Linked DNA regions of Ovis aries. The protein of the gene in region 1 interacts with the protein of each later gene in a pairwise test. Links are inferred from orthologs where the notes say so. Each region holds a gene or a part of one and is shown in the gene's direction. Other genes may lie near its edges.

The links.
Region 2: the proteins of SAT1 (region 1) and HOXB9 interact in binary tests that used the Homo sapiens proteins (3 or more experiments, as listed by UniProt). The two-hybrid records come from large-scale screens. The link is inferred for Ovis aries from reciprocal best matches to the Homo sapiens genes SAT1 and HOXB9.
Region 3: the proteins of SAT1 (region 1) and DMRT3 interact in binary tests that used the Homo sapiens proteins (3 or more experiments, as listed by UniProt). The two-hybrid records come from large-scale screens. The link is inferred for Ovis aries from reciprocal best matches to the Homo sapiens genes SAT1 and DMRT3.
Region 4: the proteins of SAT1 (region 1) and KCNA4 interact in binary tests that used the Homo sapiens proteins (3 or more experiments, as listed by UniProt). The link is inferred for Ovis aries from reciprocal best matches to the Homo sapiens genes SAT1 and KCNA4.
Region 5: the proteins of SAT1 (region 1) and DIPK1B interact in binary tests that used the Homo sapiens proteins (3 or more experiments, as listed by UniProt). The two-hybrid records come from large-scale screens. The link is inferred for Ovis aries from reciprocal best matches to the Homo sapiens genes SAT1 and DIPK1B.

What each region holds. Positions count from the first base shown.
Region 1 is NC_056080.1:22,192,370-22,198,189, forward strand, and holds SAT1 (diamine acetyltransferase 1), read left to right. Parts: upstream 1-2,394; 5' UTR 2,395-2,573; coding exon 2,574-2,639; intron 2,640-2,870; coding exon 2,871-2,922; intron 2,923-3,010; coding exon 3,011-3,094; intron 3,095-4,580; coding exon 4,581-4,682; intron 4,683-4,775; coding exon 4,776-4,816; intron 4,817-4,942; coding exon 4,943-5,113; 3' UTR 5,114-5,465; downstream 5,466-5,820. UniProt on the Homo sapiens protein: Enzyme which catalyzes the acetylation of polyamines. Substrate specificity: norspermidine = spermidine >> spermine > N(1)-acetylspermine. This highly regulated enzyme allows a fine attenuation of the intracellular concentration of polyamines.
Region 2 is NC_056064.1:37,601,101-37,605,824, forward strand, and holds the end of HOXB9 (homeobox protein Hox-B9), read left to right. Parts: intron 1-1,470; coding exon 1,471-1,706; 3' UTR 1,707-3,409; downstream 3,410-4,724. UniProt on the Homo sapiens protein: Sequence-specific transcription factor which is part of a developmental regulatory system that provides cells with specific positional identities on the anterior-posterior axis.
Region 3 is NC_056055.1:69,237,862-69,243,410, forward strand, and holds the start of DMRT3 (doublesex- and mab-3-related transcription factor 3), read left to right. Parts: upstream 1-2,277; 5' UTR 2,278-2,552; coding exon 2,553-3,003; intron 3,004-5,549. UniProt on the Homo sapiens protein: Probable transcription factor that plays a role in configuring the spinal circuits controlling stride in vertebrates.
Region 4 is NC_056068.1:59,526,870-59,532,728, reverse strand, and holds the start of KCNA4 (potassium voltage-gated channel subfamily A member 4), read left to right. Parts: upstream 1-2,470; 5' UTR 2,471-2,891; intron 2,892-5,859. UniProt on the Homo sapiens protein: Voltage-gated potassium channel that mediates transmembrane potassium transport in excitable membranes. Forms tetrameric potassium-selective channels through which potassium ions pass in accordance with their electrochemical gradient.
Region 5 is NC_056056.1:2,817,578-2,823,366, reverse strand, and holds the start of DIPK1B (divergent protein kinase domain 1B), read left to right. Parts: upstream 1-2,263; 5' UTR 2,264-2,306; coding exon 2,307-2,369; intron 2,370-2,529; exon of another isoform or gene 2,530-2,570; coding exon of another isoform or gene 2,571-2,699; intron 2,700-5,740; coding exon 5,741-5,789.

The sequences.
Region 1 (5,820 bases):
CCGATATCCGATGCAAAAGCAAGAGAGTTTTTATTACCAAGCTCGAGCTGGGGCTCCCACCGATACCGACGCAGCGACTATAGGGAGGAGCCCTGGGTCTTGGATTACATTGCTTATATAGGGAGTATACATGGGAAAAAGGATTTCTAGGTAGGGGAACATCTGATCGGTCACTTTCTTTCGAAGGGTTGTGTGTTGGTTCTTGATTGGTCCCTATTGTCTAGGTAGACCACAAGTTCCTGAGCGTTAAGTCAGGAGATTTTGGTCTGGGGTCCGATTGGGTTGTGGGCGGTGGGGTGAGGTCAGGGGATTTCCAAAGCCTCTTGGATTTCCAAAGGCTCTTTTCCTGGAACCTTACAAAATGGAGTTTTTCTGTTAACAAAATGGAGTAGCTTAGATTCTTCAAAACCTAACTTGATTCATAAAGAAAATCCACATTTCTTAGGGTTCTAAGCTTGTGCAAAAAACACAATAAATGAGCTTTTTCTAGCCACCTGTTTTTCTGAATGGTCTCTTATTGTCATAATGGCAAAGTGAAGCATAAAAACATGAAACTGAAACCGGAAAAGCAGAATAAACAGAAAAACATATATTGTGTGTTTTAATGACAAACAACCATTATTCTAAAAGACTAAGCAGACCACATTGAAAACGGCCTTGTTTTTGCTTCAAGGAGGCAGTTATTATTAATGCTTAGTCACAGAGTTCTAACTTACTGTTAGTACTAATTCTGTAACACGCTCTCCTGGGTCTTCCCACAACACAAAACAAAGCAGAGGAAGGAAGGGCTTATGTATGGTCATCCCAAGTGCAATAGTGTCAGGAAACACTACCTAAAGTGGCTTAGGCAGATGAGAATCAATGCTATTTTTAAAGATGTTTGAGAAACATTCCATAAACTCTCACAATGACTCACTTGGCATGATAGCCCCAGAGGGTGGGAAGGGGAGCTACTTTTGCTTTCTTTTCTACCTACAGGATATTGCGAGCAGAGGCAGAGAGTTATGTTGAATGTTGGGGGAGGGGTCATTTGGTGATAATCCAACCTACAGACTGAAAACACTGCAGGCTCCTTTTATGCTTTCGCTCTGACTCAGTGAGGAACCCAGGCTGGTTAGTCGAAGCAGGGCCCTCAGAAGGCCTGTCTGGGAAGGTGGTTTGTAAATAAAAACCTGTATCTGCAAAAGGATGGAGTACTTACTCCAGTGGGTATAACCCAGGAAGAGCTATAATCTAATCCAACTGTTCTCAGACATTCTCCTCTCAAGACATTTAAAAATTATTGAAAAATTCTAAAAGCTAACCTTTGAAAATTCTAGAAAACATGAGAACATACAAACACACCTTCCTTTAGTCACCAAAGCAAGGATGTCATCATACATCCTGTAAATTTGTAGTTACTTCAAAAGAAAAAGTTTTAAAGGAGGGGAGAAGAAGCACAGGGAATGAACAAGGAGGGAATATAACAACTTTAAACAGCAATGGAAGCCAGAAGATAGATGTCATCAATATGCTGAGAGAAAAGAACTTCCGACCTCAAATTTGTTCACAGTGAAATAAATCCTCCAAGAACTTCAGGATAACTGAAAGACATATTTAGACAAGCAAAACAGAAAATGTTATAAGAGCGGACCCTCACTAAATGCAAGTCAGAAGGAGTGTACCTCAGGCAAAAGGAAAGTGTTTTCATAGGAAAGCCAGAGATTTTAAGAAAAAAATGAAAACGAAAAAAGTAAGAAAGAAAATATTCTGTTAACTCTAAAAATTGCCAGCAGAGGGGGAAAGAATTATTGAGGAAGCCAAATAGCTTACCTTGGGAAATTCTAGAAAACACAAGAACATGCAAGCACACATTCCTTTAGTCATGAGAGCAATGGCGTCATCATACATCAGTTCTCTGGAAAATTCCAGCGAAACTAAGAAAGGCAAATGAAACCCTATTATTACTATGAAGCTAGCTAGTTCTGAAATGATCTTGGAACCCACAGGGCCCCCCAGACCACCCTATGCGAGCCGCTACTCTAAACCTCTCATCCCCTCGCCGCTCAAAGCCAGGTGTCTCCAGAGAAGAAATTGTCAAGTCATTGGTCCAGGGCCCAAAGGGGAACCTCTCTCTTCCTTTTGCAAAGGTCACTTAGGGGACGCCTAGGCTGGGCGGTCGGACTTTCGGGAAGCCTCCACCACGTGCCACGAGAGGGCGCCGCTAGAGAGCTCAGCCTAGCGCCTCGCCGCCCGCGCCCCGCCCGCGCCGGCCAGGTTCACACAGGGGCCCGGAAAAGAGGGAGGCGCCCGGAAGAGGGGGCGGTCGCGACCTCATTGGACGAGGCGCCTCCGCCTCACGTCCCGGGGAGGGGCTTCTTCAGGCTAAAAAGCAGAGAGCCCGGCGGCAGGAACGCGCGCGGCTCCAGTTGCAGAGAGCTGCTTGTCTTACGTCGTTCGCCGAGGTTCGCCAGGTCATGGTGCCATCCTGACTGGGAAGAGGACGCTCCCGGGAGACGAATGAGGAACCACCTCCTCCTACTGTTCAAGTACAGGGGCCTGGTCCGCAAAGGGAAGAAAAGCAAAAGACGAAAATGGCTAAATTCGTGATCCGCCCGGCCACCGCTGCCGACTGCAGTGACATCCTGCGGCTGATCAAGGTAGCGGGAAGCTAGGGCTCCTCCCGAGGCGGAGTTGGGGTCCTTGTACCCCGCAGGTCCCCTTTTCTCCGCCCACCTACCCACAGCCCCGGCCAGGCGGCGCTGCTCCGGGCGAAACTCGGAACGAATCCCCGCCCCGCCCACCCCCTTCCCCCGAGCTGTCCGGGCCGGGGCCTCACTTAATTTTCTGCTTCTCTTCCTTTTTCCTTTTTCTTATGTGCCTTAACCCAGGAATTGGCTAAATACGAATACATGGAAGAGCAAGTAATGTTAACTGAAAAAGGTAACGCATCAGTGGCAGGGCAAGGGACGAGCGTCTGGGGGACGACCGTCACCGACTCCAACACTGTCTCTGCTTCCCCTTCTTGCAGATCTGCTAGAAGACGGTTTCGGAGAGCACCCCTTCTACCACTGCTTAGTTGCAGAAGTGCCCAAGGAGCACCTGACTCCGGAAGGTAATCGCCCTGTCCTTCTAGAAGCCGAAGAGACCGAGTGTTGTGTAAGACGTAGAGTCCGCTCTGTAGAAGCACTGACAACACAGGCTGAAGTTACTTAACTGAGAAATTGGCCAGAAATAATAGCCAGCCAGTGTTCAAAGTACTGAAAAAAAAATGTGCTGCACTTAATAATAGGGCGGGTCAAAAGAGCTCTTTAAGTATCAGTGCTGTGGAGACCCGGAAGAGTTTGAGCTGTTTATGTAAGTATCAGAATGCGGTGGAGACCCGGAAAAGTTAGGTATAAAGTCATTTGTTGTAAATTCAGTTTCATAAATGGTTCTTGTTTGACCCTAACGTAACCTTTTTTGTATCTGTGTTAAATTACATTTTTTTCTTTAATTTGTCCCAATCTTCAGGTTACAGTCTCTAGCTTCGCCATGTACATGGCCCTTCCGTGTACATGGATGGGCGGGGAGGTAACTAAAAGATCCTTTACACAATAAAGTAGATGATCATGATAAATGAGGTAAGGCCCTATTATCACACACTTAAAACACGGTAGATCAGAAGCTCCAATGTACTCGCTTCCTATTTGGGAAGGACTATAAGATGGCTAGAAAGTTTAATTTGAAACTTATGCCTCCAATTGGAATTACAGACACCTGTTAAGAAGAAGTCGGATGCTTTTTTCCTTTTCTTTTTCTTTTTCTTTTTTTTCTTTGTCGTTGTTTTTCTTCCTGGTCATTGTTGAATGGCCAAAAGACAAAGCCAAATGGGGAAGTTGATGCGCTGGGTTGGGGGGTGATTAAGGGTTTTTTTTTTTGTTTGTTTGTTCTGAGGTCATTTCCTCCTGCTAGAAAAAAAATGAGCGAAATACATAAGGGATGAGGTACTTTCCAGAGGTATGTGGATGTTACATCATACCTGAGTACCTCTGTTTCTTCCGACTTAAACACTGGGGAAAGTAAATTGAAAATGTGTGAATTGGAAGGCAAGTTCTGAAATTAAACCTTACTGTTTCGGCCTTATGTCCTGACCTTAAGGAAGCAGGGTTTCTAAACTACAAATACTTACTATTCTGAACTGCCGTGTAAACCTGACTTATTCCCAAGTCAACATACCAATATATCAATAGGATGTGAATAATGTGTGTGTTTAGTTTAAGACCATAGCAGTTTCACTCTGGCAAGTAATGAAAGCATTCTCACTTCCTGAGTGTGAGATCCAACAGATTGCCAAGTGGCCAGTCCATGGTTTTAGCCTGGGTTCGGCTAGCTCTAACGTGTGCTTTTTGTGAAAACATGTTCTAAGAACAGTGAGATCATCCAACAGTGACCTGGATTGCACTAGCCTAAAAGTCAGAAGATAGTCCGGTCCAATGGCTACTTATTTTTATAATACATGCATGTATATTTTTTTAAACTTATGATAGGCTTCTGATTTTGCACCTACAACCTTGACAGATTGTTTTTCATCCATAACTCATGTGATACTCTTATTACAGGACACAGCATTGTTGGTTTTGCCATGTACTATTTTACCTATGATCCATGGATTGGCAAACTGTTGTATCTTGAGGACTTCTTTGTGATGAGCGATTATAGAGGTATGGTTGAGTTCAGGGGGGCTGCTCTAAAGAGAAATCGGGGCTTGAAGTCCTTAAAATGACTTTTTAAAATGGCACTTCTCGTTCTTTTAGGCTTTGGCATAGGCTCAGAAATTCTGAAGAAGCTAAGCCAGGTATGTCTTGGTGTTTGGTTTCCAAATTTGCAAGGGTTACTGGATTATTTGAAGGACTGAATTGAAATTGGGTCTTGGAAAGCAGGTGCACTGTCACTGAGTTCATTTTCCTCTCCCGTGTAACAGGTTGCAATGAAGTGTCGCTGCAGCAGCATGCACTTCTTGGTGGCAGAGTGGAATGAACCATCTATCAACTTCTACAAAAGAAGAGGTGCCTCTGATCTATCCAGCGAAGAGGGATGGAGACTCTTCAAGATCGACAAGGAGTACTTGCTAAAAATGGCAGCAGAGGAGTGAGGAGTGCTGGTGTAGAGAATGACAGCTTCCATTCTATTTAGAGTAACTTCTCAACTTATCTTGCTTTCTCTCCTCTTTGTAGTGAAATAATAGAATGAGCACCCATTCCAAAGCTTTATTACCAGTGGCGTTGTTGCATGTTTGAAATAAGTTCTGTTTAAGATGGCAATCTTATATACAGATTGGAGACAGATTTCTCTATTAACATCTTTTGATAAACAACAGGTAGTGTGATAATGTCTATGAAAAAAACTTCATTCTTGTGAGTCATTTAAATGTGTACAATGTACACACTGGTACTTAGAGTTTCTGTTTTGATTCTTTTTTTTTAATAAAGTACCCTTTGATTTAATTCTCTGGTGTAAGCATTTTTACTGATCCTTTATTTCATAGTCATTTTTCTTGCTGTTGAGTACAAAGTAAAAATGCCCAAGAAACATGATAACCTTACAATTTTTTTCAAAGAATTTTTAATCCAGTCTAAAGTGTCTGATGGTCAGGAGCTGTGTTGTGCCTGTATTCCCAATGTCTAGAAAGAAGCCAGTTGAATCCCAAGGTTTTATATGTAGCAACATATAAAATATGACCTTCTATTGATGACACTGTACACTTAACCCAACAGAATTTTCAAGAGCTTACAAACTCAGGCCCCACAGTAAAAAAGCCCATTTGTTACACCAGTAAAAGAGGTGGGAATGGGATTCTGA
Region 2 (4,724 bases), on another chromosome or scaffold:
GCCCTACCGGATTTCCCACCAACAGAGTGGCCCAAGGGTCCTTTGGGGGTTTATTGCCTGCTGGAGAGAAGAGAGCTGCCCTACTCCCTCAGGTCACCCCTTCCAACCTGCCAGGTGGGATCACAAGAGCTGACATTTGGGTAACACGGCTCTTCCCAAAGCCTCCCTACTCACACCCAAGCAGACCCCCCACCCCAGGCCCCCAAACTCTGCCTGGAAAGTCCATTATTGCAAGGCAGCAGTTTGGCTAGGATCAATTATTAACAGTTTTTTTTTTCCTCTTTCATATTTAATGTGACTTCGGGTCACATCCCAGGCAATCACATTAAGGAAATAGCACTGCAAATTGGTAAGACAGGGTACTTAGTGTAGGATGAACCAGATTATTATTACTTAAAAAAAATTCAGTGCTTTTCATTTGAGATGAAGGAATCTAGCAGAGGGTGGCTGCTATTTTTAATGAACTCTGCTTTATTTAGCAACTTTTCTGAGTTCAGGGGTAAGGAGAAGAGAAGCCTGTATATATTTTGTTTCCTGTTTATCCCCCACTTCCCCTCAATCTCCCCTTTCTCTGTTCCCTCTCACCGGGTGAAGCCAGTTGGATTTAGGTGTGCTGTGATGGACCTCTGTTACCCCCACATGATCCATGGCTCCCCACCTTGGGACTGGAGCAATCTTGCGTCCCAATTTCCCTGAACTTGCTTTAACCAAACTGCGAGATGAGCAGGAGCGGAAACGGAGACTATTGCAACCATAAGTTATCTGTGAGCCCTCAGCGCTCTCTTGTCCACAGGCTGGAGGTGATAAATGGTTGTAATTGGGTTGCATGTGAATTGGAGTGTGCTGAATGTTTGCGTCTCTAAATGCAAACCATATTTGTGGTGTGTGGTGTTGGGGGGGGTGGCGAGCTATCACATAGATACATATGCCTGCTGCCATGTGGCCAAGAGACCCAAGCTTGTGGTTAAGACAGGAGGGTGCACTGGACTGGAGGCCCAGGAGGTCCCTCAGTTTGGCTGGGCAGAAGCCACTCTCCTCTCCCCTAGCTCAGTCCTTCTCTTACCTCTCAGACTTAGAGCCAGTACTCCTCAGTCAGCCAGCCACCTCTAGTCTTGTAGAGCTGGTGGGGGAGGGGGCTTCAGCCAGGCTGGGCTCTGACCCAAATCCTAACCAGTTCTGACCCAAGCCGAGAAAGAGACTGAGAGAGCGCCTGGGACAGGCAAAGCTTTGGAAGTTGTGGGATGCCTGGCACAGGTTTGGCTCTATCCTGTCCCCAGATCTCTCACCTGGAGGTATCTATAGCAACTCCTGGCCCATCTCTGAGACCCTTTCTGGGAGCTGAAGGCCCAGGTGGCCCTTTCTCTAATGCAAAATGGGGAGTAGAGACCAAAGGGGCACCCTCTTGGAAGATGAACACAGGGGCTTTCACCCCCTTTCCTTTCTTTGATTCTATCGCTGCTTCTCTTTCAGCCAACCCCTCCGCCAACTGGCTGCACGCTCGCTCTTCCCGGAAAAAGCGCTGTCCCTACACCAAATACCAGACGCTGGAGCTAGAGAAGGAGTTTCTGTTCAATATGTACCTCACCAGGGACCGTAGGCACGAAGTGGCCAGACTCCTCAATCTGAGTGAGAGACAAGTCAAAATCTGGTTTCAGAACCGGCGGATGAAAATGAAGAAAATGAATAAGGAACAGGGCAAAGAGTAAAGATTCCCCTAGCCCACCCCACCCCTTCTCCATCTCACACTTATTTATAAGTGATGGCTGCAGAGCCAAGTGCTGTCTGGGATGTATTCAAGTGAATGGGGAAGGGATCTTTCTCTTCAAAGTCCTCTTCTGTATCTAGAGGCTCTCTCCTTTCCTTTGCCCTCACCTGTCCTCTTCTCCCTGGGTCTCAGGAGGAGTTTTTATTGATTTAGAAGGTAGATGTAGTTGATTCCTAAGGTGATGGGCCACAAGGAAAGACAACCCCTAGTAGAGTCCCTAGTAACCCTCCTAATTTTTCTGGGCAACCCCAGTTCCTCACTTCCAACCTGCCTGTTCCTTCCCACGCACCTATCCCTAAGTCACCCGGGGACACTCCAGCTTCACACAGCCCAACAGACGCCCGCCTGCATAAAGCCTGGAGCCCACAGTAACAATGGGAAAAGCCCACAGTCAACACTCAAAGTGACACCCCAAGTGCCATCACACCCCACATCTGGCAGAATAGCCCCTAGACCATCAGAAAAGTCCAGGGTCTACCCCTAATGCAATACACACCAAGAAGATGTCTCGAGACACATTCCTGAATGAGGCGCTGCAGTTCAAGGGGCCCAGCGTCACAGCATCACCCCCATGGACTCCTTAACTGTCCCCAGGCATGGACTCAAGGCCAAATGGGATAAACTCAGTTCCCCAGCTGGTGGGCTAGAAAGGGCAAGGAAAGGCAGTGGTGGTCTTATGAGAGTCTCTTAGGTTTTATGAAAGTAGTCCACATACACACGTTTTGCTGCAGGAAATGTTTAATTCTGCATGTTGTTTTCCTATCCTTCCAACAAAAGGAGGTCAGATCGTGGGTCATAAGCCTTGACAATGTCATCCTCCTGTTCATCTGTGCCCTGCTTGACAGAGACTGTGGCCTCTCTTGCTTGACACCGGCCCTGCTGCATTCTTCTGCATCCTCCCCAGCTCTGAAATCAACTCTGTTCGGCCAGGCCAGTCCACCTTGCACCAGCGAGTCAAGTCGCCCCTGTAGAACCACCGCCCCCCCCCCCCCCATCCTCTGCTAGCTGTACTCCTCCTTAGGCGGGAAAGCAGGTCAGGAGAACCCGATGGAGAATTTATTGTGCATCGATTCCTGGGCTCCTCTCCAGAGCAAGTCGTGGAGGACAGGGAGGAGCAAAAACTCTGGGCTTGCGGAGCTTGACTTATTCCTCCAGTCCTGCCCAGTCCGACCCCTGCGGAGGAGCCTCGGGCTTGGCAGCTGCTGCTTCAGCGCACAAGCGCTGAGACCCGCCTGGATGGCGACCTGCGCGCGCACGCTGCTGGGTAGCAGTCCCGCTTGCTAAGGAAAGAGGCCGAAATCGCACCTAAGCATTAGACTAGGGTTTACTCTCTGCTTCCTTTCCTCCCCCTGCGTCCCCACCTTTACAACCCCCCCTCAATTCATAGACTCTGGCTCCTGCTTCTCCCGGCCCTGCAAGGGGACATTCCAGTAGAACTTTTTTTGCTTCGTCGGTGGCAGTCGTGAAATTGTGCTGTGTTTTGTGATTTCTTTGGGGGTGATTGTCTCGCCTGTTTTCAGTTGTCGCTTACAAGGGAGGGTTGTGGGTGGGAGTGGGGAGGGTGAAGGGCTTAGAGCTCTGATTGTTTTGGAAGAAAAAGAAACAAGAAAAAGAACAAAAAATATATATCACTCTAGACAACAAGCCTCTCGTGTGTCATTCTGTGTTGGCTCTCCTCACCTGACCAGAAGTAGAGGTGCTAGTGCCAAGAGGGTGGCTTGGAAAAAAGAGAAAGTGCTGCGCCCAAGAGATTTCTCCTTAGACTTTGTAGGGTGGGTTTCCTGCAGGAGCTGCGAGCTGGTCTGGACCCAGGACCTCTGCTTAAACTGAGAAGAACCTTCCAACAGGAGGGCTGGGAGACTGGAGGGGAAGAAAAGGAAAGAAGGATTAGAGATGGGATCTGGGTCTGCAGGGAGCAATGAGACCTTCCTCTTAAGTTATGCTGGAGACGTCCTCACCACCTCCAGAGCCAGAGGAAAGGCAAGGTTGCCCTGCTGTGCCTGGAAGCAGGTCCTCAGCTGGCTGAGAAAGGCACCTTGGTTTGGCCACTTTAAAATGTCACGCAAGTGAAGAGAGCAGTAACTTCTTTCTGCTATTCCCTGCTGCAGACGGACAGGATGCAAATAGAGGCCTCCACAAGGCCAGGCTCTCCTTTCTTCCACCCCTCAAAAAGAGTGAACCCCAGGTTTCCAACCCCCACCTGGAGTCTGAGGCTCCAACCTGAGCCTCGGGGTAGCAGCCTTGGTGTGATGCGGGTGGAGTTTGTTGGGAGTGGGGCCTGGGGAGGCAGCTCCTGCAGGCTGGGAGAGACGGTTGTGTGTCGAACAGAAATGGTTGAGGCGAGGCGGGGCGGGCCGGGGCGGGGGATGGGGGGGAATCCCTTCCCCAATCGGACCCCAAAACTAAATTCGGTTTCAAAAGGCACCTTCCTGTCCCTCTCAGACTGCGGCGTCCACCACCAAAGCCTCAGATGAGGAGCGCTGTTGTCAGCCGCCAGGCGGTTCTCATCCAGGCGCTGGGATTCCGCTTCTGCCGGGCTGGCTCTTGGGCGCCGGACTCCTGCCGGAGCCTCCCACCGGGCCCACCCAACGGCGCTGCAGTCCGCGGAGACCCTGAGGTTGGGATAGAGGTGGGGACAAAGCCTGGCCCTTGTGAAACCGGCCTGGAAGCGAAAAGGTCAGGCCTACCCCTCTCCAGCGAACGCAAGATCGGAGACAGCCGGATGCAGGAGAACGCGAAGCTCCCGGTTCGCTGGGGCCCCAACCCGCCTCCTCCTCCGAGGGTTCCAGTCGGTATATCAAGTGAATCTGCCTTTAGAGCTTGCGTAGACTAGGCTCCCTCCTCATCCTGGGCTCCCAGGAGCCAGCCTGAGCTGAGACGGAGCTGAGAAGGCCAGATTCCGCCAAAAGGAAACGCAAAAAGTGAGGCAGGAACTGAACGGAGTGCTGCCGGGTAGGGG
Region 3 (5,549 bases), on another chromosome or scaffold:
AGAAAAGGATTATTGCGCTATATCAAATGAGTATTTAGGTCTCAGCCCCTATGTGCACTGGAGTGAAACAGGGCCCCGGGGACCAAATAATGCAAGACTGTTTGAGTGGCAAAGGGATAGGGTGACTAGGTGACTGAGGGAGAGTGGGTCGCCTTGTAGTGGAAATGTCCCCCAAACCTGGTGCTGAGCTCTGCTGCTTTCCTTAAAAAAAAAAAAAAAAAAAATTCATTACTCTCAGGTTTCTTATACTCCTGGTTTTGCTAACCATTTGTTTGAAGGAAATATGGGAGAAATCTGGCTTTGAAAAGTTTGTGGTCTCTGTATTTCCAAGAGATTTAGAGATTTCAGTGTCCCAGATTCAGTGTCATTCTAGGCCTTCTATGTGTTTCTCACTGTGAACTTCCCACTTCCAAGCCTCTGGGCCACCGCGCTGCGGGTGACCCAGGCCTCCAGTCCCGAGAATTTTTGGAAGTTCCTCCCAGTTGTAGTGCCTTAAGGCTTGTTTTCCTCGCGAAGTTTGGGAGGAGAGATTGATGACGTGGTGGGGGTTAGGAGTAAGACTAAGGGGTCTGTGCCCTAAGAAGTTTTGGAGGCAAGCCTCCTAAGGTTAGCAGTCTCTTGCTGGGGGTTCCTTTCTGCGCCCCACGAGGGCCGCAGGTCTGAAATGGGGAAGGTGGGGGGCAGCCAAGGGCCTCAAGGGCAACATACACAGTCAGGTTCACTTTTTAACCTACTCTCCTCCCGGAATCGCCCTTTTAGGCGGAGGGTTGGCTGCTGGAACGCCTGGTGGTACTTGAATTCACAGCACACACACGGACGTTTTCGGGTTGTTCGTTTGCTTCCAAAGCAGTGCAGAATAAAGCTGAGAGGCGCCGACCGGTTGACCATTGCAGCCGACTGGTCTACGCTCCGGATTCGCATTGGATTCGTCCAGACCGCCAAGAGATGAATTCAGGGTGCTCTCTGAAGCCTGCCTTCTGAAGACGGCTCCGGGATTGCCATCGCGCCTCTTCGCACTGAGCCGTTGTGCTACCCTGCGCCGCAGTAACCACTGCTTTTCTTGTTTTCTCCCATTAGGGGAGCATCTCTGTGTGTTTGCGGAGGTATTCTGCTTTAGGCCATAACCCATACACACAAGTATCACTTTAAACAAAGTTTTACAGTCATCTGTGCAAAGGCCCTCTCCCACCCAAAGACACTGGTGTGGGGGTGGGGTGGCCCCGTCCCTTATTCATAACTAGATTGCTGAGTCCGTGGGCATTTGAATGGGGTGATGCGAGACCTCCGTTTGATTTCTCAAAGACCGTTGGGCAGGGTTCAGATCATATGCGGTAACTTGGGGGGCACTAGCGTGGCCCCTTCATTCGCTCTCTGAAAGTTTAGACCCAGTGCTTAAACACAAACTCCAAAAGAGCATTTGCCGGCTTTTCAGAACAGAGACTTTATTTTTTGTTACAACGTGGAGGTGTAGAAAGGTAAACTGCGCCACAGAGGGAGGACTATTTTCCCCTTTGAAACAGCCTGCAAAACGGGTCGTCATCCTTGGACCAGCAGGTTTTCAAAAGCATTTTCTTCTGCAGCGGCAAAAAGAAAAAAAAAAAAAAAACTTTGCAAAAAGAAATCAAGAAAGCCCCCATTTCTCGAACCAGTTCAAATGCCCTACCCCCAATTTCTCCAGCCAGTGGCCGCAGGACCTGGCTCCCCGCAACATAAAACCTCTTCTCGCGCCGGGACCCTAGTGTATCCGCAGCGCTCAGATAGGTTCCGGATCTCCCCGAGCCGTGTTTCTGTGGCCAAGTGTGGGAATGAAAGCCGCCTTGGGCCCGGTGCCGCCAAATCGGGCCTGGAGGGAGGCGGGAAGAGAGTTGAAGGGGAACTGCCACCCGCCTCGCCCAGAGGCACCCTCACCCTCATCCGCGCTGGTCCTCCCTTCCCCGCCCCGCGGGCGCTGCCGCGTCCCGAGTGCTGCAGTCCCTCCCTTGCAAGCAGGAGAGGCGCAGGGAGCGCGGAGGAGGGGGCCGTGAGCGCCCCCGTGAGAGTGGCCCGGCGGCAGGTAGCAGGGAGAGTAAAGCGCAGGGTCTCGAGAGGCGCGGGCAGGAGGAAGGAGGCGTGGAGTGGAGTGGGGTGGAGAGTGCCAGGAGACCGGGACCCCGAAGGTGGGGGTGGCGGGGGAGGGAGGCGGGGGGAGGGCGGCAGAGGACGTGCCGGCCGGTCTGCGCGCGGGAGCTGCGGACGAGCCGCTTCAGACCTTAACCAGAGCTCTCGCCGGCTCCCGGCAGCCGCCGCCGCGCCTCGGCCGCGGAGGACGTGCCGGCCAAAGGAGCGGCGGGAGGAGACTCGGCCGACTCGGGAGTAGGGAAGCGCCCGTCGGGAGCCGTAAAGACGGCCGCGGCCCCTCCAGCCACTCCGAAGCGCTCAAGGCCGCCTGGACTGCGGGGCCGAGGACTGCGCCGCCCGGAGGCCGCTTTGGAGAGGGCCTCTCAGCCCCGCCGTCCAGCGGCCCCGTACCGGCTCCCGCCGCCAGCTTGCCAGCTCTGTCGGGAGCCCGGGGCATGAACGGCTACGGCTCCCCCTACCTGTACATGGGCGGCCCGGTGTCGCAGCCGCCGCGGGCGCCCCTGCAGCGCACGCCCAAGTGCGCGCGCTGCCGCAACCACGGCGTGCTGTCCTGGCTCAAGGGCCACAAGCGCTACTGCCGCTTCAAAGACTGCACCTGCGAGAAGTGCATCCTCATCATCGAGCGGCAGCGGGTCATGGCGGCGCAGGTGGCGCTGCGCAGGCAGCAGGCCAACGAGAGCCTCGAGAGCCTCATCCCCGACTCGCTGCGCGCCCTGCCGGGACCCCCGCCGCCGGGAGACGCCGCCGCCGCCCCGCAGCCGCCGCCGACCTCGCAGCCGTCGCAGCAGCCGTCGCGCCCAGCCGCCGAGTTGGCTGCGGCCGCCGCGCTGCGCTGGGCCGCCGAGCCCCCGCCCGGGGCGCTGCAGGCGCCGCTCGCCAAGCCAGGTAAGGGCCGCGGCGGGGCCGGGCCGGGCTTGCGCCCGGTCGGAAACACTTGGAAGCAGCCCTGGAGGCTTTGGCCGGCAGGCCCGAAGGCGAGTGTGGCGGGAGTGGGCTGGGCGCGACCTTACCCCCCAACTCCAGCCAAGCCGGTCCTTACTCCCTCGGCGGAAGCGGCGTTCAGTCTGGACCCGGCGAGGTAGGAGGTGGAACCGAGGTGCCCTCGGGAAAGGCGCCTCGGGCTCGCCAAGTGCCTTCTCTAAGTTTAAGGGGACGGGTAGATAAAGAGGTCGAAACAGGACCAGATTAAAATCCACGCGGGCGCACACACTCCAGGCTTTTCGACTGTAGGCTTGAGAGGCCTCGCATCTGGAGGTTGGGACGGGAGGGCAGAGAAGGAGCCCAGGCCCACGGTTTGGCCTACTCTGGGCGATTTTCTCGGCACCCGGCAACTGGAGCGAACCTGAAGCCTTTCTAGTCTGCTGTGGTCTCCAGCCTTGTGCAGTTTGTTGAAGGAAGCCTTGTTTAGAAGCAAGAGTAGAAAGGGACCAGAAAGACTCCCAAAACTGTTAGCAGGGACTCAATGTGGTGCACCCAGAGCCAGCCAACTCCTTTTGCAGGAGTTCAGGTCCTGTAATACCATTTCGCAGGCAGTCCTCTGCAGTCTGCCGTTTTAAAGAAAGACAAAACCTGAGCTACAGTGAGGAAGGCCACGCCTGGAGAGCCTTTTCCCCAGTTCTCCGTGGGCCTGGGCCTCCTGCGGCCCTCTCCTCTCCTCTTCCCCCTCCGCTGTGTTCTAGAGAGCAGGAGTCTGCCCTGAGTCCTGGAGCTGCGCAGATCCCCCTACCCACCTTTTTATCCAGTTCCCTCCTTCAGGCCACCAAAACCTTGCACACCCCACTGGAGCCTTTCCTCCTGGAGACTTACTAGCTTGTGACTGTCCTGCCCAACCCAAGTGCTCCTTTGGTTTTTAACCCCTTGGAATTCAGTGGACAGGTGTTTGGTGTTTCCCTTTCACTGGGGGCAGATGTGCAAAGGAAAGAAACCCCATCTTCTCAGGGAGAGGGTTGAGAGGTATGCTGGGACTCAGAGGTGGAAGGCTCTCGAAGGACCAAAGCCCTCCTGTGGGTGGAACTAATGGTAGAGCTTCCGCCTACCCCTAACTGCCTCCCCTCCAAAATGCAATACTTCTGGTTTCTGGAGAGAGGCTTTCTGGAGCACTGGATTGCTGGGTGGAGCTGGGGACATGCCATTTCTTGGGGATAAGCTGGTAGGCCGCCTGGCAGGCTCAGTTCTGCTGCCCTGTTCCTCAGTTATGCTCTGCAGACCCAACCTCTGAGAACATCTTATGTGAAGAGCAGAACTGGGTGTTTAAAGACAGAAGTGAGTTTGCTGAACGTGGCTTTTGTGACTGTTTAATCCAGGGTAGGATGGATATAAGCCTTTCCCTGAGTATGTCTACTCACTTCCTGGTGACTCTCTCTTGTCAGTGTGATCTCATGTTTCACAGAGGAGTCAGAGGGGAGGGGAAAGAACCTTTTTCTCTTTTAAGTTAGGGCAGGTAACTAGGACAGTTTTGTCTCAGTTCTCAAAGTTGATCTATGCCGGTGAATTTTCTGAACCTTCCCATTTCTACTTCCTCTGTCTCCATTTCCCCTAACACTCGGGCAGCATTTGTGATAGTGCAGGCAGCACCCCCATAATAGTGCATTGGGTTCTGGGGTCCCTGTCCAAGAGGGGTTTGGTTCCCTTCACATCCTGTGCTCTTCACACCTGTTCTCTGGGATAGCCAAAGTTCACTGTTTCAAAAGCATCGAGACCAAAAACAGCCCTGAGAGGTGGGGAGTGAGGGCAGCCAGAAAGGCGGAGCAGCAGCAGCAACAGCTGGAGAAAGATATAAGCTTGGGGTGAGACTGATTGCAGCCAGACACACCAAGCCTGGTATGCTCTCTTTCACTGGGAACCAAGATAGCCTCAGCCTTTCAAATTGAAAACCAGTAATTGCAAAGGAGAATAGGATTTGACACAAGAAGAGGTCAGAGTGATGGCTTTGGGGGACTAAGCTGTCAGGGACCAGCAGCTCAGTTTACAGCTAGTCCTGCTGTGTACCTTGCACATCTTATTTATGTAACTTTTGTTTTCTTCTTTCAGTTGGTTCGATCCCATAATTCCATTTAACACCAACAAAAAAGTCAGTCACCAATCTGATGACGATGAGAGAGGGCAGGAAAGGACTAGATAGTTTTCCACTAGGAAGGCAGGCACACAAGCGGATCAGCTCTATGCAGTGCTTTATACGGAGAAAGCCCATTTGGGATTTAAGTTAGAGAGAACTGCTTGGGTGGGACTGCTGGTTGCTGTACGTATTTTTTTGCAGGTGTTCTTAGGATTTATTTGTATGTAACATGCATATTGAGAAGCCTGTTAGGTATGGTCCTGGGCAAGTAGCTCACTGCTTAGGGAAGTTAGCTCACTTCTTAGCTCACTACTTAAGCACTATTTGAATTGTAGGTCCACATGTACAGTAAGTTCACAGACCACTGGTGGGTGGT
Region 4 (5,859 bases), on another chromosome or scaffold:
CATTTCTCCTTTCTTGTCAATCCTTGCTTGCTGCCCCCAAATTATATACTACTTCATTGGGGCTTCCCTGGTGGCTTAGATGGTAAAGAATCTGCTTGCAATTCAGGAGACGGGTTCCATCCCTGGGTTGGGAAGATTCTCTGGAGAAGGAAATGGCAACCCACTCTAGTAAGTATTCTTGCCTGGGGAATTCCATGGACAGAGGAGCCTGACAGCCTATAGTCTACGGAGTCGCAAAGAGTCGGACATGACTGAGCAACTAACACACACACGCACACACACACCATTTGCTGCATCTCAGGAATACCATTCTCATATTCCATGGACAGAGGAGCCTGGTGGTCGCAGTCCATCGGGCTGTAAAAAGTTGGACAGGACTAAGCAACTATTGGGCATTTTAAACTTTAAAATTCTCTGGGCAGTGATAGGAACCAACAGTAAGTGGCATGCGGAAGCACACATGGAAGCGGTGGAAGCATGTGGAAGTTTTAATATGATCCAGTTAAAATGTCCAAGCTTCAGTATACATGTTCTCTTTTGTGTATTGTTCAACCTCAGTTTTCATCTCCCTGAAAATACAGCTGCTTTTTTTGATCTCAAGATCCTATGCTCTCAACCCTGCCTTTACCATCCCAAGAAATATCCTTTTGATGAGATGATAAACTTAATCATCTGCTTTTGGCACAGTGACTACCCCACATTGTGGAGTAGAGAGGGGATCTGGGACCGGCACCCTGGATGGTTTCGAGCATTTGGAGTAATCCACCTTACCTACTTTCTGAAATGGATGATAGTGGGGCATGAATGGAGACAGAGCCTCTCTATCCGGGGAGGAAGCACCATTCTCTCAATTCTTCCACCTGCGGTTGAGGCCAGAGGATCATGGTACGTTTGTTCACAACACAGGTTCTAACTTTTGTCACTACCTGGAAGAAGTTAGGAAAATCAGACCTCATATCAGTTAAATTTATTTTTTTTTCCTTTTCACCGAATACAATGTGATTTTTTTTTTTTTTAGTTATTTAAAAAGATCCAAAAAATTAAACAGCAACGAAATGCAGTCCTGATAGTGTCCTTCGCCAAGCCAGCAGCGGTTAGGTGAGTGAGCAGAGGGCATATCTATAATTCAGTTCGGGAATATTTCTGTTAATAATTAATAGAGTGCCACAAAAGGAGGAGGCCCAATTGGGCCCTCGAACAAAGCTGCCAGCTGAGGACGACAGTGGTCGCCTCGGAGCCAACTGACCCGCCCAAGGTCGGATTTGCTCCAGCAATCCGGGCGCGCGCCACCACTGCCAGCTTGGCCACAGGGGGAGCCGGGAGAGGTGCCAGGAGCCCCGCCGCCACTGAGCGCGCGCGCGTGTATGTGTGTGTAAACTCTCACTTCCCACCGCTAATCTTTCTTTTGGCATATTTATGAGAATTGCGTGTTAACATCCACGTCCAGGGGGCACTTCACAAGGCAGCCACCAAATAAGCAATCTGGAGTCCATCGGGGGTGAGGAGCCGCTGCGGGCGCACTCGCCCCTCCACGAGGTGTTGGGGTATGTGGGGGGAGTGCTTTTTTTGTTGTTCAATGGAAGTGGGTGGCATTGGAGATCCGACCACTAGGACAGAGATCTCCCGGGAGCCAAACCTCTCGCCAACGTATTTCTTTTTGCAACAACAGGTTCCCCGAGGGCTGGCCCCGCCGCCGGGAAGGACTGGCAACCTGTTCGTAGACCTTTGACTCTCCTAACTCGGACCTCAGCCTCCCTTTCGTAGCCCTTGGCCTGGGCCCGATTCGAATTTCAGTAATCCTTCCCTTCTCCGAGTCCAACACCTGTGTAAAGTCGGTCTCCTCCGCGCCGGAGACTTCCGACCCCAGAGTTGAGGCCAACAAACTCCCCACAAGGAGGCGGAGACCGAGGGGTCTGGGCGCGCTTGCGGGCGACCGGACAGCTCCGGGCTGGCGGCCTCGCCAGGGATGCCCCCGGGGTTCCCAACCCCACACACTCGTTATGATGCCGGGCTGGGGGGGCTGTGTGTTTGCAGCGGGGTGGGGTGGTGGGTGGGGTACCGGGGGAGATGCAGAGAAAACGCTTCAGGAAGAGGAGAAGACACCTAGAAGCACCTTGCGGTCGAGCCTGGACCTGCCGCCGAAGTCACCTCTTCCAGCCTCTCCTGACGTTTCTGCCCTGCCGTCGGGACCCCATTTCAGCTTCAAAGGGGACACCTCTCCCTCTGCGATTAGCTCCTCGCCCCTGGGGGCCCCCATCTGGGGACCCTGGAACGCTGCCCACTGGCTCCCGAGAGCTTCGGCGACTGGGGGCCAGGCCGGGGGCCGGGCAGCCGCGGCGTCGTGACTGCGCCCGCCCCGCCGCGCCTGGAGGCGCCCCTGGCGACCGCGGTGAACGCCCCACCCTCGGACGGCCCTGGCCCCGCCCCCGGCCGGCGCGCGCTCCCGGCCAGGGGAGGCGTGTGCTGCTTCAGCAGCCAGCGAGAGAGCGAGAGGGATGGATATTGGAGGAGGAATTCGGGCTTAACAAGTGATCGCTGCTGTCTAGGATATATATTTTTTTTTCTGGGGAACCTTGACTTTTCCCTGTCGAGCCCTTCTGTGCTGAACTCCAGAGGAAGCAGGAGTCTTGGGGTCTTCCCTGGGGCAGCCCTGATCCTTACCCCCCGGCTCCAGCAGCTAGGACTCTGTGCCCTCACGCCCCCACCCCCCGCCCTCGACCAGGCAGTAGAACTTGTTCCGTGGATATTTGGGAGCTCCCACCTGCCACACCGGAGCGATTCCTTCCACCCCCAAGATCCTTCTTCCCCTCCTCCAGCTGTTGCAGCTTGAGGGTGAAAAAAAGCAAACCGGGGATTTTCTTTATTTTTATTTTGCACCCCGCCTGGGAATGGTAAGTATGACACCTCTCTTACCTTTCCTCTCCTCTCCTCTTTGGCTATTAAGAAACAGTGGACATTTGAGGGATAAATAATATCGAGAATGTGACAGAAGGGCATGAATGGAAGACGGTTAAAAATAAAACAGGAGGTGGGAGAAGGGAGGTGCAGATGCTGCGCGGCGCTCCGGGGGGCCAACAGTTGTTATTTTCCCAACCCCGGGGATGGGGTGCGTGCGCCCTGGTTAATGTGCCCGAGCGGGAACCTAGGTCTGGAGGCGAGGGCGCGATTAAAGATGTCGTTTCCCAACGAGGTGGGGTTTAGATTTAGCATCGTTTTGTCTCATCTCAGACTCACCGGTTCTATTTCTTTGAGAACAGCTGGTGAAGGGGTTTGAATTGTTGCTTCTCCCAACATTTGGGGTTGAGTGCGTTTTCTGAGCATTTGAGCAATACATAGAGACTATATAAATGGCGTGCGTTGAAGTGTGTATTTCTCACGGTATTGGCCCTTGGAATTCTCTCAATCTTTTTCTCCTTTTCTCTCTCTGATAAGGTTCAGGTACCACCCTACAGTTGCAGGAATTAGCACTGAGTGAGGAAAACAGCCTTGTTGTTGGGGGTGGGGTGGGAGGAGGAGGGGCGCGATGCTTGACTCTTGTTTGGGGGCGCAGGAATTGGGGAATAGGTAGTCAGCAAAATTCTATTAGTTCGTGGTGTTAAAGAGGAAAGGATATTCCCCTGCAAGGTCTCTTCATAAAGTCTCCTGCAAGGTCTCCCTCATAAAGTCTCCTGAGAGTCAGCTTCAGCAGATTCTCCTAACATGAATACCTTGAGGGGAGAAGGAAGAGAGATTGTAAACTAGTCTGATTTGCTGGTTGGAAGGATTTTTTCATCTTTTTTCTTTTCTTTCTTTTTTCTCCCTTTTTATAGACTCTTCCTCCTCTTCTTCTAAGATGAGAATAGTGAGATAACTGGTAACAAATTAGAAGGACGATAATTTGCTCTATGTACAGTGGAGGAGGGAGTTAAGTAAACAAAAAAAATTAACAAACCCAAGTAAAGAAGTAAGTAAATAAGAAACTATTTGGTGTAAAGAGGGCAAGTCTAGCTCTCCTGCAGAGTTGATTGTGAATTAGAAGACCCTCTAACTCATGACCTTCCGGGAGTCAGTTCCTTTGGTGGAAGAGGGGGTGTGCGTAGTATAAGAATTCACAGGCGCTTTGGTTACACTGGGGCTGTATTTAACTAGTGTATTATAACTGCTTTGAGGGGGTTGGGGAAGAAACTGAGGAAACTCTCAGGCTGTTCGGCTTGTGGAAGTCTTTAAAGGATGTTGGCCTGACCCTCCACAGAGAAGATAGATATTTGGAGACCTTGTGAGAGTGAGCATTTCAGAGTAGAAAATGATCCTGGGAGTCAGGCAAAGGAGGACACCAAACCAGAAAGCTTCAGAGGTGTATTTTCTAGGTTCTTTGTCCCAGTCAATCTCACTTCTTGTCCTGGGAGAATGTGATTGATCTGGAAGGGATGCATGATCCGAAAGACTTTTGTTTGCTGCTTCCCCAACTGTTACTTGATAAAACCTGGGTGTGTTTAGTCTTCTAGGCCAACAGGATTCAGCAGCAGGTGGTCAAGAGGTGGGTCCTGTTAATGGCTCCAGGAAGCCATTTCTCTTATGCTCCCCAAGAGCTCCCGGTAACTGAGGTTGGTAGCTGCCCTGAATCCTGGCTGTTGTTATCCTCCCCAATTCTCTGGGTCACTCTACATTCTTGGAAGTCTTGTTGGACCCAGGGAAGGGAAGACGCAAGAGGAGACAGGAGAAGCGAGATTAAGACAGGGACATTTACAGGTTCTGGCAGAGGAGATGAGTTAGTTGGACCTACAGAGAACAAACTAAGGAAGAATGAAGGTCAGGAGTACTAGGTGACAGGGAGAACAGGAGAGGGCTGCAGGGAAGATGTGATCAGGAAGTGGCAGATTGGAAATAAAGGGAAGGAGGGAGGGAGGGAAAAGAGAGGGGGATTTGGGCCATAGAAATTATGGGTAAATTATAGGGAAGAACGTATCATAGGCTGAAAACAAAGTACATACAAACTGGGATTTGAAACATAAGGAGACAGTCCTTGAGCAAAGTGTAGGAGGAAGCATCAAGGTGAACATGGGGGAACTGCAAGGAGAGTAGATGATTATTAGAGAAGTGGAAACTGGGATTAGCTCCTAGGTTGTGGGTGGTAGGGCGTGTTCTGGAGTCTGGGGAACAGAAAAACAACAACAGGGACATGCTTCAGGGAGTTAGGGAATGCCAACTTAATACAGACCATTCGCGAGCCTCAAAATGTCCTGGATGACTTCATGTTCTGTCCTTCCCCTGCTTTGACAGTGGTCTAAGGATATATGCATTTGGGGGTGGGGAGATTGACCATAAAGTATTATTATGTTATTAATAACTGCAAGCCTTTATTGATATTCCTCACATACAAGGTACTGTGGTGTTCTGTCAACATCAGTTATCTCATTTAATCCTTACACAAGTGGTATGGGAGAGGTTGTATTATTATCTGCACTTTGTAGATGAGGTGACTGATGCTTGTTCGAGTGGTGGAACCTGGATTAAAGAAAACTGGTTTTTCCAACTCCTCTAATCCTGAATCAAGTCAGAGGGGTGGAAGGCCACTGAATTCAGAAATACTTGATGAGTGGAAATTTGAAAAAAATGCCTTGAGATCAATGAATGATGGAAACAGCTGTAAAGTGACAACATTGTTATTGTGGAATGAAGAGGGTGACAGTGAGAATTAAGACCTAGCATGAGTGAAAAGGCGGACTGAAAGAAGAACCATATGGGTCGAGAGTGGAGAGAGGAAAAATAATTAAATTATGATGAAAGTAGACAGTGCTGAAATGATAGCCAAAGAAAAAGGATAGAAGGATATTTAGTGAGAAGGAGATTTAACAACCTGCCCCATTACTACTCCTTGGA
Region 5 (5,789 bases), on another chromosome or scaffold:
ATAGCAGGAAGTCTGCCCTCTGGAGGTTTTTGGAAACCACTGTCCAGGAACTGGGATGGCTGCCTGCACGGAGGTGTCTCCGCAGAGACAGTCCGCTACAACAACCATCGCAGGGCTCATCTTTTCAACAGAAGTGCTAGAACAATTGGATATCCATGTGCAGAAACCCCCAAACCCCAAGCCAAAACACTGCCTTGATCCATGTGCTGAGTCTCTTCAGTCGTGCCCAACTCTGTGCGACCTTATGGACTGCAGCCCACCAGGCTCCTCTGTCTGTGGAATCCTCCAAGCAAGAATACTGGAGTGGGTTGCCGTGCTCTCCTCCGGGGATCTTCCTGACCCGGGGATCGAACGCACACCTCTTGCATCTCCTACTTTGGCAAGCAGATTCTTTACCACTAGCGCCACCTGCGAAGCCGTGTACCAAAATGAGCTCCCCTGAATCACTGACCCAAACGCAAAACCTAACACTATAAAACTCCTAGAAGAAAACAGAAGAAAATCTTTGTGACCCTGGGCTGAGTTAGGCAAAGACTTCTTAGATTTGACAGGCACAGACAAATAAAAGGGAAAAATGGACAAACTGGACCTCATCCAAATTAAGAACGTGTAGGTCCCGGGGACGGGGGAGCCTGGTGGGCTGCCGTCTACGGGGTCGCACAGAGTCCGACACGACTGAGGCGACTTAGCAGCAGCAGCAGCAGCAGGACTTCCTTGGTAGCTCAGTGGATGCCAGTATGCCTGTCGATGCAGCGGACACTGGTTTCATCCCTGGTCCGGGAAGATTCCACATGCCGTGGGGCAAGTCAGACTGTGAGCCACGACTTCTGAGCCTGCGCTCGAACCCTCCAGCCACAGCTACTGAAGCCCATCCACCTAGAGCACGCTCTGCAGCAAGAGAAGCTGCTGTGATGAGAATCCTGCGCCCGGCAAGAGTCGCCCCCACCCGCTGCAACTAGAGAAAAAACTCAACAAAGAAACAAACAATAACCAAAAAAAAAAGTTGGGCAAAAAGTTTGCATAGACGCTTTGCCAAAGAATATATACAGGTTGCAACTAAGTATGTAAGAAATGGCCAACATCAATTGCCTCTGGGGAAATGCAAATAACCACAAAGAAACTGCACTTACAGGCTCCCCATAGGATGGCTAGAATTTTAAAAGGGTCGAAACCAAGTGCCATGGGAAAGTGGAGCGACCAGAACTCCCACATGCAGGGTGCCTACGCCTACCATGGCATCCCCAGCCTGTATCACCTCAGGGAAAGGGAATGTCCTTCACACAGAACCTTGAGTTCTGACTTGACGGCGGCTCTGCTCCTGATGTCCCAAGCCAGGACCAACTCTGGGGGCCTTCAAGAGGTGACTGACCGGCTAATCGAGTTGGTGCCTGGTGCCCACGCTGGCAAAGAGGGGTGCTGAGCGTCCAGGCCTCTGCCCAGGGACAGAAGCCAGACCTGGAGGCTGCGGCCGCTTTTTTCAATTTTTGTGTCGTGCAGGGGACGAGCCGCAGCTCCCCGGGACTGGGCCCGGCGCGGGGGAGCCTGGAAGAAAGCGAGGCCCGAACTGCTCTGCAGCCTGCAAGTGGGGGTGCCCACGGGCTGTCTGTGCAAACACCGGCACAGCCGCACGGTGCAACAGTGCGTTTTACTGTCTTTAAAAAGCGGGAGAAAGAGGCCAATGCTGCCGCAGTATCCACCGCCCCTCCAGGCCCTGTGGTCGGCGCGGGACCCCACTAGGGGTCTCCCACGACTGTTCCGGGCCCCGGCGCCTCCCGCGCCCCGCGCGTCCGCCCCTGCCCCGGGGGACCTCCGCAGGCTGCCCGGCTCCATCACCCGCCTCTCCTCCACCGAGGGGCGCGTGACGGCCCCCGCCGTGCAGCCCCCTCCCGTGGCGGCCTCGCGGGCGACGGGGGCTCGCACGCAGGGGCTCGTCCGCGCCGCCGGGGGCGGGCCGGGGGCGCGGGGGGGCGGGGCCTCGGCGCCCTCCCCCTTCCCTCCGGGCGCGGAGGGGGCGGCGGGGCGGAGGCGGGGCCGCGGGCGCCTCCCCCGCCCTCCCGCCCTCCCCGCCGCGCCCCCGCGCCGCCCGCCTCGCGGCCGCGCGCCCCCGCGCGCCTCGGCTGCCCGCCTCCCCCCGCCGCGCGCCCCCGCCGCGCCCCCTCCCCGCGCACCCGCCGGGCCGTCAGCGGCGAGCGCTCTGGCGCGGACGCGGGGCGGGGAGGAGGCGCGGCGGCCGATGCGGGCGGGCCGGCCCGCGGGGCTGAGGCCGAGCGGAGGCGAGCCGGGCCCGCGCACGGCCCGCGCCCACCATGCGGCGGCTGCGGCGCCTGGCGCACCTGGTCCTCTTCTGCCCCTTCTCCAAGGGCCTGCAGGTAGGCGCGCCCCCGGCCGGGCCGGCTCCCGCCCCCACCCCTCCCGCCCTGGGGCCCGGGCCGCGGCGGGGTCGCGCGGCATCCAGCCCGGGGACCCTGGGCGGATTCCGGACTCAAGGTCGCTGAGGGCCCGGGTGCGTGGTCCCTGGGGGACCGGGGGCAGGCGGGGCCCGGGGTGGAGGTTGCCGATCGGGTGAGCGGATGCTGCGGGGTTGGCCCCAGTGCCTCTGGGGCTGCAGAAGGCCCCCGCTCCGCCGCGGGCCGGAACTGCTCCCGCAGGCCCCGAAGCCACACCAGGTCCGCCCCGCTTTCCTCTACTTAGGAGACCAGGTTTGTCTTTCTGTGATGGAAAACTTGGGACCCGTAGAAGCACCCTAGGAAGGGCGTACCCTCCCCCTGGGTCATCCCCCAGCCAGCCCGAGAAGAGGAGTGTGCCCTCCCCACAGTGACCTTGGACAGATCCCCGGCCCTCTCGGGACCCTGCTGTCTGCAGGGGAGGCCCAGGCTGCTCTGGGGGCCGCCTACCGTGATCCCTGTCATGGCTGCTTGGGGTGGTCTGAGCCGGGCTGAATGCGAGCCTCAAATTATTCAGGCCAAACCTGCCACCTTCACGACCCCAGGCCCTGGGCAGAAGGAGACAGCCCTGGTCAGACTCGCCCGCACCTCCCTGGAGTCCCCTCTGGGGAGAAGGGTGGGAGCCAGGTAATGCACTCAGGAGTTTGCGCCAGAAGCCCCCCTGCCATCCAGGGGTCTTCGGGGGTAGTGATCTCCACCCATCTCTGGGTCGGGTGGGAGCTGAGGGTCTGTGGCCTCCCCCACGCTGGGAGGTGGGGGTGCAGCAGCCCCATCCTGAGGGAAAGGGCTTGACCGACCAGGCCAGTGTGGCAGGTCTTGGACTGGGGGTGTCAGGCCTCTGAGCTCAGCCTGGGAACGGCGAAGGAGCCTGGACAGGAGAGGTGATGGGCTCCCAGTGGCTTGGGTTGGTTCCCAGACACCCGCCTCCTTAATGAGAGGAGACACCCTGAGCCTCAGTTTACCACATGTGAAACACACTCCTGTGTTGGTGGTGAGGGGTGGAGGCCACGGTGTACGTGGGCCCCTGGCCCCGAGGCTGCTGGTCATCATGCTGTCTGTGTCCCCCGAGGGACCCCCCAAGTGCTCCACTAGGAGCCAGGCAGTCTGGGGGTGCGGGGAGCCGCCGACTAGGGCGCACTGAGTGAGCTCCCCCTGTCCTGGCGGCATGCTCACCCTTGGGCGTCAGGATGCCACAGGGGCAAGGCAGGGCAGGGGGTAGGGGCAGGGACTCCCCTCGGAGGAAGTGCCTGCCTGCGATGATCAGGGCCTGGGGGTCTCTCAGAGCTCGGCGCTGGGGACGGTGTCCATGGAGCGGGGCCGCCACGGGAAGGCCGGAGCTGGAGGGGCTCTGGCGGGAGCGTGGGCCGTGTCCGAGGTGGGCCCTGCGGTCAGGCCGCGAACCTGGGTCTGGCCCAGGTCAGCCCCTGGGGCCAGTGCAGGCGACAGCCCGCCCTTGTCCCGCCTATCCCCCCAGGGCGGTTGGCAGTCCTCTGGCCTCCACCTGTCCCCCCAGGGCGGTTGGCAGTCCTCTGGCCTCCGCCTGCCCCCAGCCGCGCCCCTGGCTCCCCGGCCCCCCACCCGCTGGCCTGCTTTCCTGCTTCTCCCTTTGAACAAAACTGGCAGAAGCAGATGTGGTGGCAGGACCAGTGGGCCTGCGACCCAGCCCTGCGACTCTGGCCAGGGCCACCCCGGGCCTCCGCGGCTCCCAGCCGCACCTGCTGCAGCGCCTCCCTGGGCGGCCGGGGGATTCCGCCAGAGGAGCAGGAGGGGAAGGCCCTGCCTCTCCTGGAGGAACTGTGAAAACTAGCGCAGCTGCCTGACCTGAGCCTGGAGGCCTTGCCTCGTCCCCAGGGGAGAGCCGCTGGCCCCATTTCTGGGCCCCAGCCTCCGATGAGAAGCCCAGGGCTGACCAGGACTGGAGCCACCCCACTGACCCAGGGGTGGCAGGATGTGTGACCAGTGCTGGTAGAGGCCCTGCTCTGGAGCCCCTTGCTCTCCCGGGCCCTCTTCTCTGAGGCTCAGCTGCCCCAGTCAGGGTGTCTGAGCTCTTCCACGGAGCAGTGCCTGGTAGCTCTGGCCCATCAGCTGACTGCTGCTGGGCAGCAGCCATTGAGGCCGTGATTTGCCAGGACGGGGGTGGGGAAGGAAGCTGATGCTCCTGCAATCCTGGCTTGGGGGCTGGATGGGAGACAGTGCCCCCCAGTTCCTGCAGGGCTCTGGGTCCCCCCCACCCTGTGATTCCACTCATCAGCCTGGGAGAGCTGCTCTCCAGAGAAGCAGTTCCTGGCCCACCCCACGCTCCTGGGACGGAGCCTCTGGCAGCGGGGCCAGGGGCTGAGTATCTTGGTTATCTCTTCTCTATTATGGTAAATTTCACATCGTGTGAATTCAGCATCTCAACCGTTTTTTAAGTGCACTGTTCAAGGGCATTAAACACATCCCCGTTGCTGAGCCACCACCACCTTCCATCTCTAGAACTCGTTTCATCTTCCCAAACTCAAGCACTCAAGCTCTGTCCCCTTCAAACACTCACTCGCCATCCTGGGCAGGCCCCCCTTTCTCCCCACCGCTCCCCGTTGTCCCCACCCTTCCTGTGTCTGTGGATCTGAGTCCTCCAGGTTGTTGCCTGGGTGGAGTCACACAGGATCTGTCTTGTGTCTGGCTCATTTCACTGGACATGATGTCCTGCTGGGTCATCCATGCCGTAGCCTGGGTCGGAGTTCTTTGCCTTTTCATGGCTGAACACCGTTTTCGTGTGTGGATGGGCCGTATCTGGCTTGCCCGCTCCCTCCTCAGTGGGTCCGCGGGTTGTGTCTACCCTTTGGCTGGTGTGATGGGGGGTGTGCGAGGCTGGGTCCCTTAAAAGCTCACAGGGTGACTGCGCCTCCAAGCCCTGGGCTCCCTGCTGGCCTTGGTCCAGCCTGAAGTCTTCCCCAGTGGGAGGAACCTTGTGAAGGGTGCCGGCCCAGCGTGAGGGGCCCGGGGTGGGGGGTGTGCCTTTCCAGCCTGACCTTCTACAGAGGTTACGTCATTATGAAATGACGGCAGGACAGGAGGAAAAAATTGTTCCAAATCTCTTTATTCAGCAAAATAGAGTTGTCTGCCCTAAATCCTCCTCATTTGGAATTTATTTTTCCCTGCCTGTGAGATTTCAAGGTCTGGGAGACACCAGGCCCCTGCCTTGCACCAGAGTGGGTGAGCGGAGTGGGAGGGAGACACTGACCGGGGCGGGGCTTGGGGGGCTGGGGGCTGGGAGGCCAGGTCCGCTGTACTTCTTCACGCCCCCTCCCCCGCAGGGCCGGCTCCCAGGCCTGAGGGTCAAGTATGTCTTCCTCGTGTGGCTGG